Linked DNA regions of Caenorhabditis elegans. The protein of the gene in region 2 purifies or fractionates together with the protein of the main gene of each other region. This does not show direct contact. Each region holds a gene or a part of one and is shown on either strand. Other genes may lie near its edges.

Evidence for each region.
Region 1: the proteins of amx-2 (region 2) and grk-2 purify together in Caenorhabditis elegans (affinity purification with western blotting, with the first as the bait; one study listed by BioGRID). This does not show direct contact.

Annotation. Positions count from the first base shown.
Region 1 is NC_003281.10:674,493-681,185, reverse strand, and holds grk-2 (G protein-coupled receptor kinase 2), read right to left. Parts: upstream 5,065-6,693; 5' UTR 5,058-5,064; coding exon 4,794-5,057; intron 4,744-4,793; coding exon 4,642-4,743; intron 4,594-4,641; coding exon 4,313-4,593; intron 3,979-4,312; coding exon 3,571-3,978; intron 3,131-3,570; coding exon 2,789-3,130; intron 2,516-2,788; coding exon 2,247-2,515; intron 2,198-2,246; coding exon 2,064-2,197; intron 2,016-2,063; coding exon 1,893-2,015; intron 1,340-1,892; coding exon 1,139-1,339; 3' UTR 537-1,138; downstream 1-536. Other genes in the region: W02B3.4 (uncharacterized protein), read left to right, coding at 1-105, 153-290. UniProt on the Caenorhabditis elegans protein: Specifically phosphorylates the activated forms of G protein-coupled receptors. Required in adult sensory neurons for chemotaxis.
Region 2 is NC_003279.8:12,759,078-12,766,828, forward strand, and holds amx-2 (monoamine oxidase), read right to left. Parts: upstream 5,884-7,751; 5' UTR 5,872-5,883; coding exon 5,746-5,871; intron 5,406-5,745; coding exon 5,225-5,405; intron 5,037-5,224; coding exon 4,913-5,036; intron 4,817-4,912; coding exon 4,663-4,816; intron 4,590-4,662; coding exon 4,382-4,589; intron 4,184-4,381; coding exon 4,046-4,183; intron 3,741-4,045; coding exon 3,582-3,740; intron 3,203-3,581; coding exon 3,061-3,202; intron 2,888-3,060; coding exon 2,733-2,887; intron 2,451-2,732; coding exon 2,106-2,450; intron 1,839-2,105; coding exon 1,768-1,838; intron 1,429-1,767; coding exon 1,299-1,428; intron 1,254-1,298; coding exon 1,161-1,253; intron 948-1,160; coding exon 883-947; intron 763-882; coding exon 679-762; 3' UTR 510-678; downstream 1-509. Other genes in the region: bath-35 (BTB domain-containing protein), read left to right, coding at 1-13, 63-214, 264-392.

The sequences.
Region 1 (6,693 bases), on a different chromosome or scaffold from region 2:
GGCACCAAGTACAAGTACTCCTATCCTGTTTACGATCCATTCTGTGCAGCAGACCTCCACGGTCATATATTTTGGGTCACTTGTACTCCGAACGAGAAAATTGTGGTATGAATTTCAAAAATATTTACTAAAATTCCCTTTAAAATGTTTAGAAAGAGTATGGCCAACTATGGTACCTCGATCACCTGACATCAAAGTACTCATGGAATTCTTCAGGAAAAAATGTGAAGAAGAACGGAAAATGGACGAAGGAGCAGATGAAAATGGTCTACAAAGTGTTTAAACGGTAGCAAAGGAAAACTCTTTGTGTCGGGGTCGAACCTGCGACCTATTTTGTCCAGGGAGAGCTTCTTACCGGCTACGGGGGTACCATGCTTCCACTTAACTGCGCCCTGTGGCTCAGCCGGTAAGAGGTATGACCTTGACTGGAAAGATCACGGGTCCGACTTCCTGCCTAATGAATATCCTGTTAACATCCGGTCAACATTTCAACGGGTATTAGTTTTTTTTCTTTCATTTCATTTCATTTCATAAAATAAATTTTTAATTTATTTATCTGAAAATGGGTTTTTGAGATGTTTTGAAAATGGATGTAAAATTGGTAAAAAGTGTAAGATTCTAAAAGGAAAGTTTTTACATTAAAAATAATGAAATAAAAAATCTTTAGAACAGAAAAAAGAAACACAGTGAAAATCGATAAATTGTGCATCTGATACAGGTTTTTTTACAGGGATGGATGGGGGAGTGGAAGGAATGTATAAATTTAATTTTAAAGATAAGCTATAGTTTTTTAGGATAATTATTCTAAAACAAAGTAGAACTCATGGATTTCACGCAAAAAGTACATTAATCTGTTTTCGTGGCGGGACCCAAGATTGGCATAAGTACTGCTAATAGTAAGCTCTCTGTAGTAAGCTGCATTTGATGAAAAAATTCAAAATATACATTTTTCGGCGGTTTTTATCATGTGTGCACGGAAAAAGAGCACATAAGTGTTCTAAAATAATTATCCCAAAAAAAACTATAGGAAAATGTGTGAAAATCGAGGAGATCACAAGACAAAAGGTACCGTAGATAGAGGAATGCTTGGGGGATTTTTTTCCAAAAATAAAATTTTGGAAAATTTTTTTTCTTCAAGTTAAACACCAGAATCAACACTGCTAGCCCTATTCAGAAAGGCTCTTGTCACAGAACCAGGTCGTTCACTTTCAGATAACATTGGGTCATGATTGACTCCATAGATTTTGATTGCTTTTCGGCCCATTCGTTGCAAAAGTTCCTGGGAGACTTTGTGAGCCGTGCGGAGGGATGTGTGCCATTCTTTCAAAGAGATTTCGTCCTGGAATTTTGAAATTCAAGATTTTGAAAAAATCTGATAACGATGACACTCCTATAAAAGTTCAAATTTGAATTGCACCCCAAAGTTTAAAATTTTGAATTAGTTTAAACAAGAAAATTTCTCTGCAAGAATTTTGATTTGATCAAAATCAGAACTTGAATTTTGCGTCAATTTTGTTCCTAAAAAATTGTAAGTTTAAAATGTGTTCTCGTCAGTATTTTTGAAAGAATAAAGATTTGAATTTTCTGCAGAAATTTTTGAAAAACTCAATTTTAAATTTTAAATTTTCTGCCGCAATTTTTTGTAGGAAAAAATTTCTACAAGAAATAAAAAAAATAAATTTAGAATTTTTCCGCAACGGTTTTTTGAATACTTGAATTTAGAGTTTTTAGCCAAGTTTAATTTTATAATAGCAATTTTTATTCCGCAGAAATTAATACCAGCGGAGAGTGCAAGGCACGCTTCAATAAATGCCACAGAATTCAAAAACTACAAGATAGACAGACCGACAGTTTTTTTTTTCAGTCTTATACTTTAAAACATTTTCACTAACCGAGTTTGTTAAGCAAATCTTAGGCTCTTTGAACCCATCTCGTAACTTCACAATGATTGCCGTCTCTCCCTTGATGGTCTGCATTTCGGCGCACACATCTTCGATTTGATCCATAAATACTAACTGAAATGTGTCATTTTTATATTTACTCAGTTTTCAAATCAAACGTACCTCTGGCTTAGCAGTTAATGATTCCGGATAAAGTTCCAGTCGAGATGGATAGAGCTTGCCGTATTTGGTTTGCCAAGCCGAGGTGAACGGGCCGCCGAGCTTCTTGATATACCCGTGGACTATAACATCGGAATCTGGAATCAAATATTATGCAGATTTGCCTGGGGATCTTTTTCTACTTACCTTTCTCCTCAACTGCCACCTTGATCTTCTGTTTTGACCGCTTCTTACTCTCCGCCTTATCCGCATCCTGATTCACTACCTCAAATATTGTCTCCGCGATTTCATTCTGCCACCGTTCAGATATCACAATATTGAAGTTTTTGTACAAATCTGAATCCCCGTCTTGCAACTTGACACCTTTCACTTCATCATCGTCAAAGTTTCCAATGTCAAATGCATCCGCAGCGTTGACTTCTCCACGTGGTGGGATTAGTGGTGGTGTCATTCGTCTGGAAAATTGCTGATTGGTGAGTTTCTTGAAATTTTACAAAATTGTTGCAACATTAATGGCTTAAAAATTATTCACCTTAAATTTCCGTTTTGGACTGTATTACAATTTCCACAATGTGGTTTGTAAGAAATACCAGCACAGGACGATAAAATTTATAACGGATCTGTATGGCTTCGAATGCTCTTTTCAATTTACATCTATGTGGCTAACGACAAAAAATATTAATTTTTGTACTTTGAGTAATTTGGTTCTATTAAATATATAAACTCACCTCAAATACACAGTTTGCCAATCGACATCTTTGAAAAATGGATGCTCCTTAACCTCCGTCGGCCCTTTCCCGCGACACCCCAATCTATCCGGAACGTCTCGTTTCAAAAGTCCCTCCAGAAGATCTCGACAGTCTTTTGACAATCCTTCATTCGGCAGTTCAATATCTTGTGTTAATGTCATTTTGTCAATCTCGTTCTTATCTTTGCTCTTATGTTGACGAAATGGTGAGTGTCCCTTTAGAAGTTTATACAGCATACATCCTAACGAGAACCAGTCGGCTGACGAGTCGTAGGCAACGCCTTTGGCCAGTACTTCGGGTGCCATGTAGCCGTGGGTTCCGCTGAAATTGAAACAATTAGGTGACTGGTCGAATTTATTTAAAAGTTTAAAAGTTTGATTAGATCCTCATTTTCTGTCTTGAAAACAGGCAAACTTTTTGAAATACTGATAGTAGGGCTCCAATGAGGGCCCGAACGTGTCAGTCGCTTTCAGGTAACTACCTTTTCCCACTTCATTACACATACAGCGGGTAACGGCGCCGGTGTGGGACCCGCATTTTGCTCCTCACTCAGCTGGGAGCCCTGACTTATAATTATAATAATAGGGCATAATTATAGGGCTCAAAAATAGTTTTAAAATTTCTAGCAACGCCTTTGCCTTTTTTTCCTTAGCAAAACCTCAAGAGTCAAAATATGTGTTTGATACAAGGTATAATCTTCCCAATAGCGCTTATAAGTCTGAGATTTTCTATGTGTTCAGGTTTGAAAGAAAACAACTTACACACTAGCATGCGGCTTCTTTTTTGAATAATCACACGCGAGACCCAAATCGGAAACCCTCACATGACCATTCTCATCCAACAAAATATTGGCAGGCTTTAAATCTCGATAAACTACAAATCGATTATGCATATGTTCCAGTCCAAGTATAACTTCTGACGCATAAAATATCATCTCTTGCTCCGTAAATACTCCGTGTTGTGATAAATGATAATGAAGGTCACCACCGTTCATCAAATCAAGGATGAAACACAGTTTGTCGGGTGATTGAAATGCGTATGTCATACACACGATGAATGGGCAATCTTGTCCAGTGGAGACGAGGCTCAACATGATTCTCTCGTTTAGTGCCAGCGTTTCTCCTTGTTTCATCTTGATTCGCTTTTTGTCAAGACATTTCATCGCGTACCTGGAATATGAAATTCTAATCAAGTCCAGTAATATTGATAATTTCTTCCCGTAATGTCAGAGTGTCTTATTTCGGCTTGATCTACGTAGATCTACAAAAAATGCGGGATAAGAGACGCAGAGTTCTCAACTTATTTTTTATGCTTAAGACCGTGCTACCGTCACATATTTTTGGCGAAAATTCCCGCATTTTTTGGAGATCAAACCGTGATGGGACAACCTGGCATCACGTGTATCTTTGGTACTCCAGGGTAACCTAGTTTTTCTAGACCTGGTTTTGAACTTCTGGCATAACATTTTCTTTTTAGGAGCAGGCTTGCATATTCACCACTCACATCTTTCCCGTGTCAGCTTTACGACACCCGTAGACTTCTCCAAAGCCACCTCGACCGATAATTCGATGTACTGAGAAGTCGTTCATTGTCAGCTGCATATTCAACTCCAAGTTTTTCCACTGACAGAATCTGGTGAACTTGTCCGACTCGAGAAATCGTTGAAAAATATCTCCACGAAGCTGATCGCAAATCTCCAAAACATATCGGTGAAAAAGATCTGGAGGCACATTTTGTTTAAGAAGATGATATTGTACATGTTGTAATGATTCTTTTGAGTAGTTCTGAAATAGTTTGCGATTTGTTGAAGAATTAAAGTGACTGAGTCTTACGTGAGCATGTGCGAGCATTTCAACCATTATATGATGATCATAAATTTCTCGTGCTTTTGTTAATCGCTCATCTGGTGTCTCCATTTTCTCGTATTCTTTGATCTGAAACTTTGTTGAGATCAGAGATATATTTTGGTAACTCTGATACTCACCGCCTCGTAGAATTTAATTTGAGGACACGGACTCTCGGAGACATTTTCCGCGTAATCTTTTAACAACAAGAAACCGAGCTTTTGATTGAAGATCTTATCAAACTTCATATCACCCGACTTTTCCAGAAATTTTTGCATTATACTCCGCACACTCGGGTCTGGCAGAACTATGCGTTTGCTGGCACGAGCCGCCGGCTGACTTCGGCTCTTCTCCATTGCCATCAGGTAGCTGACGTCAGCCAGCACTGCTTCCAAGTCTGCCATTTTTGTTCTGCAAAATCGAATTGATTAGAGATTTGGTTTTTAAAGAACGAGTAATAATTTGTCAGGAAACGAGTAAAATTCTGAAAGCCAAACATACATAGTTGCGCTAATTGAAAATAACCTTTATCGGCTTGTAGCTCGGTTATTTTCAGCGACAGAACAATTTTTTAAACTACAAAAATATAGAAACAATTGTGTTCAACAGTTTTGTAGTTAAAAATGTTTTCCTAAAACTGAAAGCAGCCAAGATATTAGATGTCAAAGCCATCAAGGTCCCCTTTTTCTAGCAATGACTCAAAAAGTAGAGCGGCAAAGTATTCTAATATTGTTTTGAAAAATAAAAGCGAAAAAATTACTAAATCTGAAAGAAAAATGAAGAGAAGGGAAGGGAAAAGAGAGAAAAAAAATTGAACAACAATCATAAAAATGCAGTTTTTCTTTCTCTCTTGCTTCTCACGAAGAACAAGAGAGACGAGACGCAGAGAAAAAGATAGAAGCAGAAAAAAAAAAGAAAAATATGTAAAAGCTCGGAGCCCCCGAGCCTACCCCACCCGTCCAAATCGAGTTATGGGGTGAGACGGGTAGTCGAATTTTTTTCGGGGGAAGGGTTTAGGTACTGACTTGGGAAAGGAGGGGGAATGGAAAGAACGAATTTTATGTTCGGGATGATTTAGGTGGAAGCTTAAGCGGATTAGGATAGGATTAAAGAGTTAAAAGACATTCCTAGTGCACTTCTGATCTGGAAGTCAGCTGCAATCAGGAAATGTCTGAGCCAGTAGTAAGTCTAACGAAGCTCTCGTAAAATTGAGATATTTTAAAGAGCAATTAGTGTTGTCACGTTACAAAAATTTTTTATGCAGTTTCAGGTATTCGAGATAAAATTTGAATAGTAATTTTTTTGAGGTGAAAACTCTAAATTTTTTTGAAGAATCCCTACGGGTGTGCGTCCTATAAAAAAGGAAAAAATTCAATCAGTATTTAGTAATCAATTTCCATGAGAACAAATCATCGGGATAGGGCGCCAAACGGGCGAGTAATGAACGGGAATAGGCGCTTTTTAACCAGGTGTATGCAGCGAATTTGTTGGGTTTTCCAAATTTGCCAAGCATGGCAAACTTCCAAAAAGTGGCGGGGCCAAATTTGCTGCACACACCACAAATTGGATTTTTTTAAAATTGACCGAAGCTAATGATTTTGTTCAAAAATTATAGTAAAGTAACATAAAATTGAGTTCTTTTTAATTTTATGCTTTTCGGGGTTTGATGAGCTCGGCAAATATGCCAAATTTGCCGAACTTGGCAATTTTGAGATTTGCCGCACACCCCTATTTCCAACCGTAGGCTGGCACCGTAACGTCAAGCCATCAAAATATACCCCAACTGGGAATTAAAATTATTTTTGTATAGATAGAAAAAATCTAGAAATCTCAAAAATTATATATAGCTGTTTTTGTTATCAAATACTGGCTAGTTGTTGGTAGGGGGTATTAGTTGTAGTATCAGTAACCGCCAAAAGTCTCAAAGGGACACTAGGAGAAGAAGAGGAGACGGAAGAGTGGAAAAACAAGTGGCAGATTAGATAAACACAGAGGGAGGGCTCCCTATTCAAAAAAAAAAGAGATATCCGGATATTTTGT
Region 2 (7,751 bases):
CCAGCGCTGACTGGTAGGTTTCTGAAAAATTTGAAGCCTTTACTACAAAAATATTATTTCAGAGGACAGTGTCGAGGGAATCCTACAAATTGCTGCCAGATTTGATGTTTCCACGGTTATTCGTAAAGGTGAAGACTTTCTGCTCCAAAAATCGGAATTTTCACCTGAGAAGAAGCTGCAAATGTCTTTGAAGTATAATTTGGAGAATCTCAAGGTTTTGCTCGATTCTGTGCTAAAATGTTTTGTATACTGAAAATTTTCAGAGTAAATGCCTTTCCGAGGTCAAATCAGTTGCTGATATTCGTTCCGTTTTGCCAAAGGACATAAAAGAAATGGATCATTCTGTAATGGCGGAGCTCTTGGAAAAGTCACTGGGTCTTCAAAAGACTTGAATTGTTTCATTGATTTTTCTGATCCAAATTTGTTAATTTTCACTATTGTTTTGTTGTTGAATTCTTCAATTTAAGCTTTTTTTCTAAATGAAAAATTGTCCAGAAAAACGAATTGAAAAAGCAAAACAATATTTATTGATTTTTACAATTTCCGAAACATTTTCAAATCTTTTTTGAAAATATCGAAGAACAAGAGAAGGGCGGTGCAAACCGAAAAGCTTTCAAAACGACACGTATTTTGGCGGGAAAATTTAAAAATTCAGGAAAAAAGTTAGATGTGCAGGTGTTACTGTAGACGCAAAGTCTGTAAGAGTGTTTGCACCAATTGCGTCAGACTTGACGCCAATTGGAGAGCCGTCGAGTTGGAAGCCTGAAAAAAATCGATAATTGATCATGTGGTTGAATTATCGATTTTATTCAAAAATCAGTAAAATTCTAGAAAATCGATACTTTAATTATCGATTTTTTTATATTTTTCTGAAAATCTTACATTTGCTGAAACTTGTTGCAACTCCTGCACAACTTGTGGAGATGGGGTTGCTCGTGAGTCGATTCCTGTAAATTATCGATTTTTGGGTGTATAAATTAGCTCTATTGATAATTTTTTTATAAGTTTCTCACGAACGTGTAATAATCTTTAAAATTTAAAATTTCTGCATTTTTCCAATTTATTTGTGATGTAAACTTGCAAAATGACAATTCTCATTAGAGCGCACTTTCCTCTAGCTTTAAACTTTTCAAAATTTTGGCAAATGTATAATAACTGACTATTTCGATTTGAAGATAATTGTACTGGATAATGAGTTGATGTCGTGTAGGCGTAACCATTCTGCTGTTGATTTACGAGAACTGCTGGCACATCTGGATAGTTTCAAATTTGGCGCCAAATTCAAAAAATTCAAAAACCTCGTTGAACAGCTGACGTGGCATTTTGATCTAAATTTCCGTTACTAAAATGTTTAAAAGTTGTCGTTTCGATCGTCTCGACTAGTGGCATTACACTTGAAGTGGAATACGCAAATGTCGTTGAATAGTTCTGAAATTGTGTGCGTTGGGGCGTGGTTGCATTGGCGGAAATTTGAAAGTCTTGTAACTTTTTAGTGGTAAGAGGTAGGGAAAAGTTGTCAACTAGTAAAATATAGGAAATTTAATGGGAATTATATTGTTAATTAAAAATTTCAGTAACATTGAGTTTCCGCCGAGATATAAAGGATTTAAAAAATTTAAAGTTACAAATTGGAAACGCGTATACCTTTTTCACTGTTTAATATGCCAAAAAGTTGTCAACTAACAAAATGTAGGAAATTTTATGTACAACATTTTGTTAGTAGACCATTTTTTCGTATCTGTTATATCTGCTGAGATAACGCCTTACCAATGTTGGTGGGGCATCCTGTTGTGGGCTGTCGTAGGCCACGGCAGCCGGTTCTTCATTTGTGGAGTTGTCTGGAAAATTTAATTAGGCTTAAACCTGGTTTCAGCTTGGTTCAGACTCAGACTACAAACTAAAGAGCCGTCCAGCCTCAACCACCTTTTGTAGTTTGTAGTCTACGCCACTATATTTGAATACATATGTGTAACTATGCAAAAAATGTGTCAATTTGATTTAAACAAAACGCATAGTTGTACAAATTATCCAAAAATGCTTTCCAATATATTGTGAGGCTCAGGGTACATTTTAGTTTGTAGTTTGTAGTTTATGAATCAACTAACCCAAATTTCCAAAACTGAAATGTTTCATAGTAGTAGTTGTTGGTGTTTCTACAGTAGTCGGGTACTGTGAACTAGTTTCATATTGGAAATTTGTTTGATTTCCAGTATTTCCAGAGTTCACAGAATTGTTTCCAGTGGTATTTCTATTTCCAGAGTCATTTTGCACATTTCGAGCCGCGAAAAGCGATGGTGGGTAGTGTGAGGAGGTACTGTAGACGTATGGAGTTGTCGACTCGACTGGTGTATCCCTAAGGACTCCGTTACTTTGAGCATCTGCTGCTGAGAGCATTTGGAGCACATATGTGCTCACAGAGCCAGCTGCGTGTACGGCTCCGTTCATGGTACCTGAAAATTTTAAATGTAATTTTAAATTGCAAAATTCGATGAAAAATCTAAAAAAGCTACTGCGAAATTGCCTTTGAACAAAGTTACAGTCTGTTAAAGTTTGGTTGAGGCTGAAAGTTCTGTAGTTTGTAGTGTGAGGCTCAACCAATTTTTTATGCACCATAACTTTCTTCAAAATGATCGATTTTTTACCGTTCAAAAACCAAAATATTGAGGGAAAATTGAAGAACCTAGATTTCAATATAATCTTCAGTTTTTTCAAAAATTAAAATTCTGACCCACCCAAATTGTGCGAGGCAATATCCGCAGTAGCAATATGTACATTTTGGTACAAAGTATGGAAATCGTTGAGATATTTCAGGGATTCTAATGGAATATTAAGCTTCAATGTTGGAATTGTTCCTTTCGCCAAGTCGTCCGTGGCAAAGTTGACGTCACTGCAAAAATTGATTTTTAAAAGATTTTTGGTGGGTTCTGCGATACTGTGAACTACAAACTACAAACTACAAACTACTAGCTACTAACCTACATATTGTAGTCGTTTCCCGATTTCGAATTTGATAGTTTCAAAAGTTTTTAACAGTTTTTCAAATTTTCCCAAACATCTTACCTAACATCCAATGGCGAAAAATCAGCAAATCTCAGCGAGTACATAATCGCCTGAGTGTACAATTTGCGGCGGGTCTCGAACGGAACATCGTAGGAGAAATGGGCGATACCCCAAAGTGTTGATGACGCTGATGTGGAGTTGTCTGAAAATTTTTTGAATTTTCGGAGTTTTTCTGATAATGCTTAGTTTTTGAAAAGTTAAAATCGGTTCATTTGGAGCGAAGTTACGGTGCATCGAAGATTGGTTGAGGCTCAGACTGCAAACTACAAACTATAATATAATCCTAGCTGAGCTTCAACCATCATTCTGTAGTTTGTAGTTTTAAAAATGGTTGAGGCGCTATTAGGATTGTAGTTTATAGTTTGTAGTATAAACCTTTGAGATTCACCAACTTTCGGTGCACCATAACTTTGTTCAAACTGGACCAATTTTCATGGTTCAAAAACCAAAATTCACTACAGAAACTTCTTAAGATTAATAGTTTAAACATTTTAAATTTACAAAAGTCTGGAAAAACCCACCACAACTCGCCGCAAAAGTGGTATCAAATGTGGTCAGCCATACCAATGGACCAGTCGCCGACGTGTAGATCACTTTTCCGCTCCGCCCATTTAGCCGCCACGTGGCACGTTGGAATGACATTGTGAAGTAGTAGGCGTGGCCTGTTGGACCGTAGTTTTCTGGAAATTTTTGTAGTTTGTAGTCTTAGAATTCGTAGACCGAAGTTTTTTTAATGTTTGGATGAAAGTTTAAATGTTTCAGTGCAATTTGATTAGAATTTGATGTCATTGTGGAAAAATGTTTTTAAGTTCGTTAAGGCTAAATATTTGTAGTTTGTAGTCTAGTTTGTAGTTTGTAGTGACCAAAACTCTAAGGTAAACAAACGTTGTTTTTGAGTGGTTTTTATGCGGTTTCATTTTCGGAAATTAAAACAAAAAAAGTTCAAACATTTTTTTTCTCTACTTCAATTTTTCCAAAAACTCACGAATAAGCTGCTGAAAGGGAGCTTCTGGTGCTGGTACCAGCTCAATATTTTCCAGTGTCGGAATTGGCACAGCTACAATCACTTGACGGCCACTGAACCTTCGGCCGGCAGATGTTTGGACCACAGCTGGGAAGGCGGCTGGAAATTAGGATAATTTGAGTAAAAAATAGGAAAAATAATGAAATGATGTTTTTAGAAAATAATGAAATTTTAGAAAAAATTTGAATTTTCAAATTTTAGAGATTTTTTTTCAAATTTTTTTTTTTGGAAATCAGAAAAAATAATTCAATGCTTGTTTTCTGGTTTTTGTAGTTTGTAGTTTGTAGTCTACAGTACCATCATTAACCGAAACGACACGTTGACTATATTCAATCAATAATCCATCAGCAAGCCTTCTCACGACTTCATTCATTCCACCTTGTGCCAAAAGACTCTGCCCATGACCAAATCTCCGGAGAATTTCAACGGCTGTCGCATTTTGACTGGAACACGTCAGGGCCAGCTGAATTTCTGGAACTTGTTCTCCGGGAGCATCGAAAAATGTCTGAAAATGAGGGGAAATATGGGTTTGGCGGAATTTTAAGATTGGTCAATATTAAAGAACGTGGTACACTAACCTGCATCATTCGGTTCACCGAATCTGCGTCAGCAGTGTCCATTTGCTGAGACATTGCTGAAACTGAAGTATTTGTAAGATTTCCGAGAGTTTCTGGCGAATTGATAAGATCTGTGAAGAGGGTTGTACTCCATTGCTGTTGGAGGGATAGTTGTCTGGAATTTTCAGAGAGTATTGTTAAATTAAAAAAAAAAAGCTCCTATGGATCTCAAAACCGGATAAAATTTCAGTCACTTGTGTCAAAACTGTACCTCTTCTTCCTTGTTTGCTGGAATACTGTATTATTACCACATGTCAACTGTTGTGTTGTACGAACATTCAATTCTTGAATTAGACTTAATAATTGGGTGTCCGTTGGAGAAATGAACTGAGATCCTGAAAATGAAGCAATTTTGCATTATCTGGGGTACTGTAGATATCAAAAATGCACCGGATCTGACGACAAAATGCACTATTCTTCAAATTTTTGTAAAAAGAGTCGGCATGTAGGAAGAAAACATTGGTGATTTCGAATTTCGTAATGAAAATCTTTAAAAATCGATAATTTTCAAGATTCAACGTACCTGTATCTACGAATTCAACACCATTTCTTGTCTGCATTGTAGCATATCGAATTCTGCCACCAACTTGACCACGTGCTTCCAGTACTAATACGGATAGTCCTGGTCGATTTTGCTGGATGTTCCGGGCTGCTGTGAGCCCGGTAAGTCCTGCTCCGACAACGATGACATCATATATTGTTTGCTAGAATATAGAAACATTAGTTGAGGATTAGACTACAAACTACAATATTAATCTAGGGAGTTCTAAAAATTTTAATGTTAGAAAGTGAATATTTTGAGTGTAAAAATTCAAACATTTTTTCGAAAAATCGAAAAAATTTTTAATCTAAAAATTGGCCAAACATTTGGTTTTCAAGACTTTAGGCTAATTTTGAAATTCAAATCCTTAAGAAAAATGAAAAATTTAACTTATTTAAGGTGTTGCCAGGAATTTTCTTTTCAAAATTTTTGGAAAAAGTTGGAAAATTAAATTAAAAAACCCCAAAAAAATTGTTTTTTCATTTTTTTGTTTCTCCCCTTACCTGAATATTAGAACTGCTAATATTTGCAGACGTTGGTTGCTGTTGTTGCTGTGACTGTTGTGAGAGTGTATTCTGTGCATAGACGCAGACAGCCGCCCAAATGAATATCCACCACCCACGCAACATTTAGGTTTATTGCTGGAAAAATAAACATTTTTCGGTTTTTATATAGAAACAGTGGTCTAAATGACAAATGAAACGTGTCAACTGGGTTAACTATATAGTTTAGGTAAACGGATGAAGAAGGTAGGTTAAAAGTAAATAAACAGGTGGAAACTGGATATTTTATCCGGAAAAAACAAGTTTTCTTTTAAAATATAGGTTTAATAGTTAATTCCAATTTACAAAATAAACTAATATTACGTTTTCTTTTTTAGTCGGATACAGGAATGGGCGGCAATTGCCGTTCGGCAAATTTTTTCGTCGACAAATCGGCAAATTTCCGGTTTGCCGATTTGCCAGAAATTTTTATTTCCAGCGAACTGCCAATTTTCAGTTTGCCGGATATCGAATTTGCCGGAAATGTTCAGAGGAATTTTTTAAAGAAACACTTAAGTTTTAATTAAAAATGTGCCTTTTTAAAAATTATCTCGTTTTCTTGAGATATTTTCAAAGAACATGCTTACTTTTCAAAAATAGGATGCGCGAAATTTTGCAAATTAAAATTGAAATTCTGAAATTTCCAAAAAAAAAAATTGGAAAACCACAAATTGCCAAAAATTGTCGGCAAGTTCGGCAAATCGGCAATTTGCCGGTTTACTGATTTGATAAAAATTTTCAATTCCGGTAACTTGCTGTTTTTCCGGAAAAATCGTTTACCGCCCACACCTGGTCTGATAGGGCCCACATTTAAACAATTAGATTTCATCTTTTGAGCTCTGAAACCTCAACTCATCTAGTTGCTCTGGGAGCAGTTATATTGTTTTAAAAACAATTTGATTGAAATCTCCTTCAAATTCTAGTTAATTCTCTTTTTGGAACCATCCAATTTGGTTAAATTTGAAGCTAGTTACGAATATTTGAAATTAAAGAAAAAAAATTTTGAGTTTCCCGCCAAAAATTGTTCTCAGAAAATTTGAATTTCCCACCAAATTTTTGATGTCGTTTTCTGATAACTACAAACTACAATATTCTCAGCCTCAACAAATATTCAGACTCAAAAATTCCATTAAGACATACATAGTTGCAACACGAATAACATTCTTGAATCTGGAAAAAAAATCTAAAAAACCAGTTTCCAGTGACAATTAATACATGAGAATTTCCAATTCCAGTTAAAAAATCACTCAAAAGGGTAATATTTGAGGAATTTCTTCGGGAAATGACCGTCTATTTGATTGATGGGAGGAGGAAAAGGAGGGAAGGTGGTTCTGGAGAGAAATACATTAAAATGGTAATTGAACCGTATTTGCTTAATGGGCAATTTCTGAAGTTCAAGTACAGTACGTACCATATTGCGATAAAAATGACCAAAAAACTGACTTTTCTCGGCTAATTTGAGTGGTTTTGGCCAAAGATATTAATAATTTAAAATTGGTGAGGCTCAGACTACAGCTACAAAATTTTGTAAAAATAACTATTTTATCAATTTATCTTTCTTTTCGGACCTATTTTGCCTGTTGAAGCATTGGTTTTGCTCCACTATGAGCAAAGTTACAGCGATTTGAAATTTGGTTGAGGCTAAAAATTCTGTAGTTTGTAGTGTGAGCCTCTACCAAACTTTGAGGGCCTGTAACTTTGTTAGAAGTCGGCCTAGAAACTCGGTTCAAGAAACAAATTTATGTAAAATCGGTAGAGGAACATAGTGAAGTAGAAATTTAGTGGCTTAGTTAGAAATATTTTGTAGTTTGTAGTGTAAGCCTCAACCACTTTTTGAACCCTTATAACTGTTAGAAGTTGACCTAGAAACTTAGTCCAAGAGACAAATTTGTTTAAAATCGTCAGAGGAATCTACTTAAATTCAAGTCAAGTGGATTAAGAATATTTTGTAGTTTATAGTCTAAGCC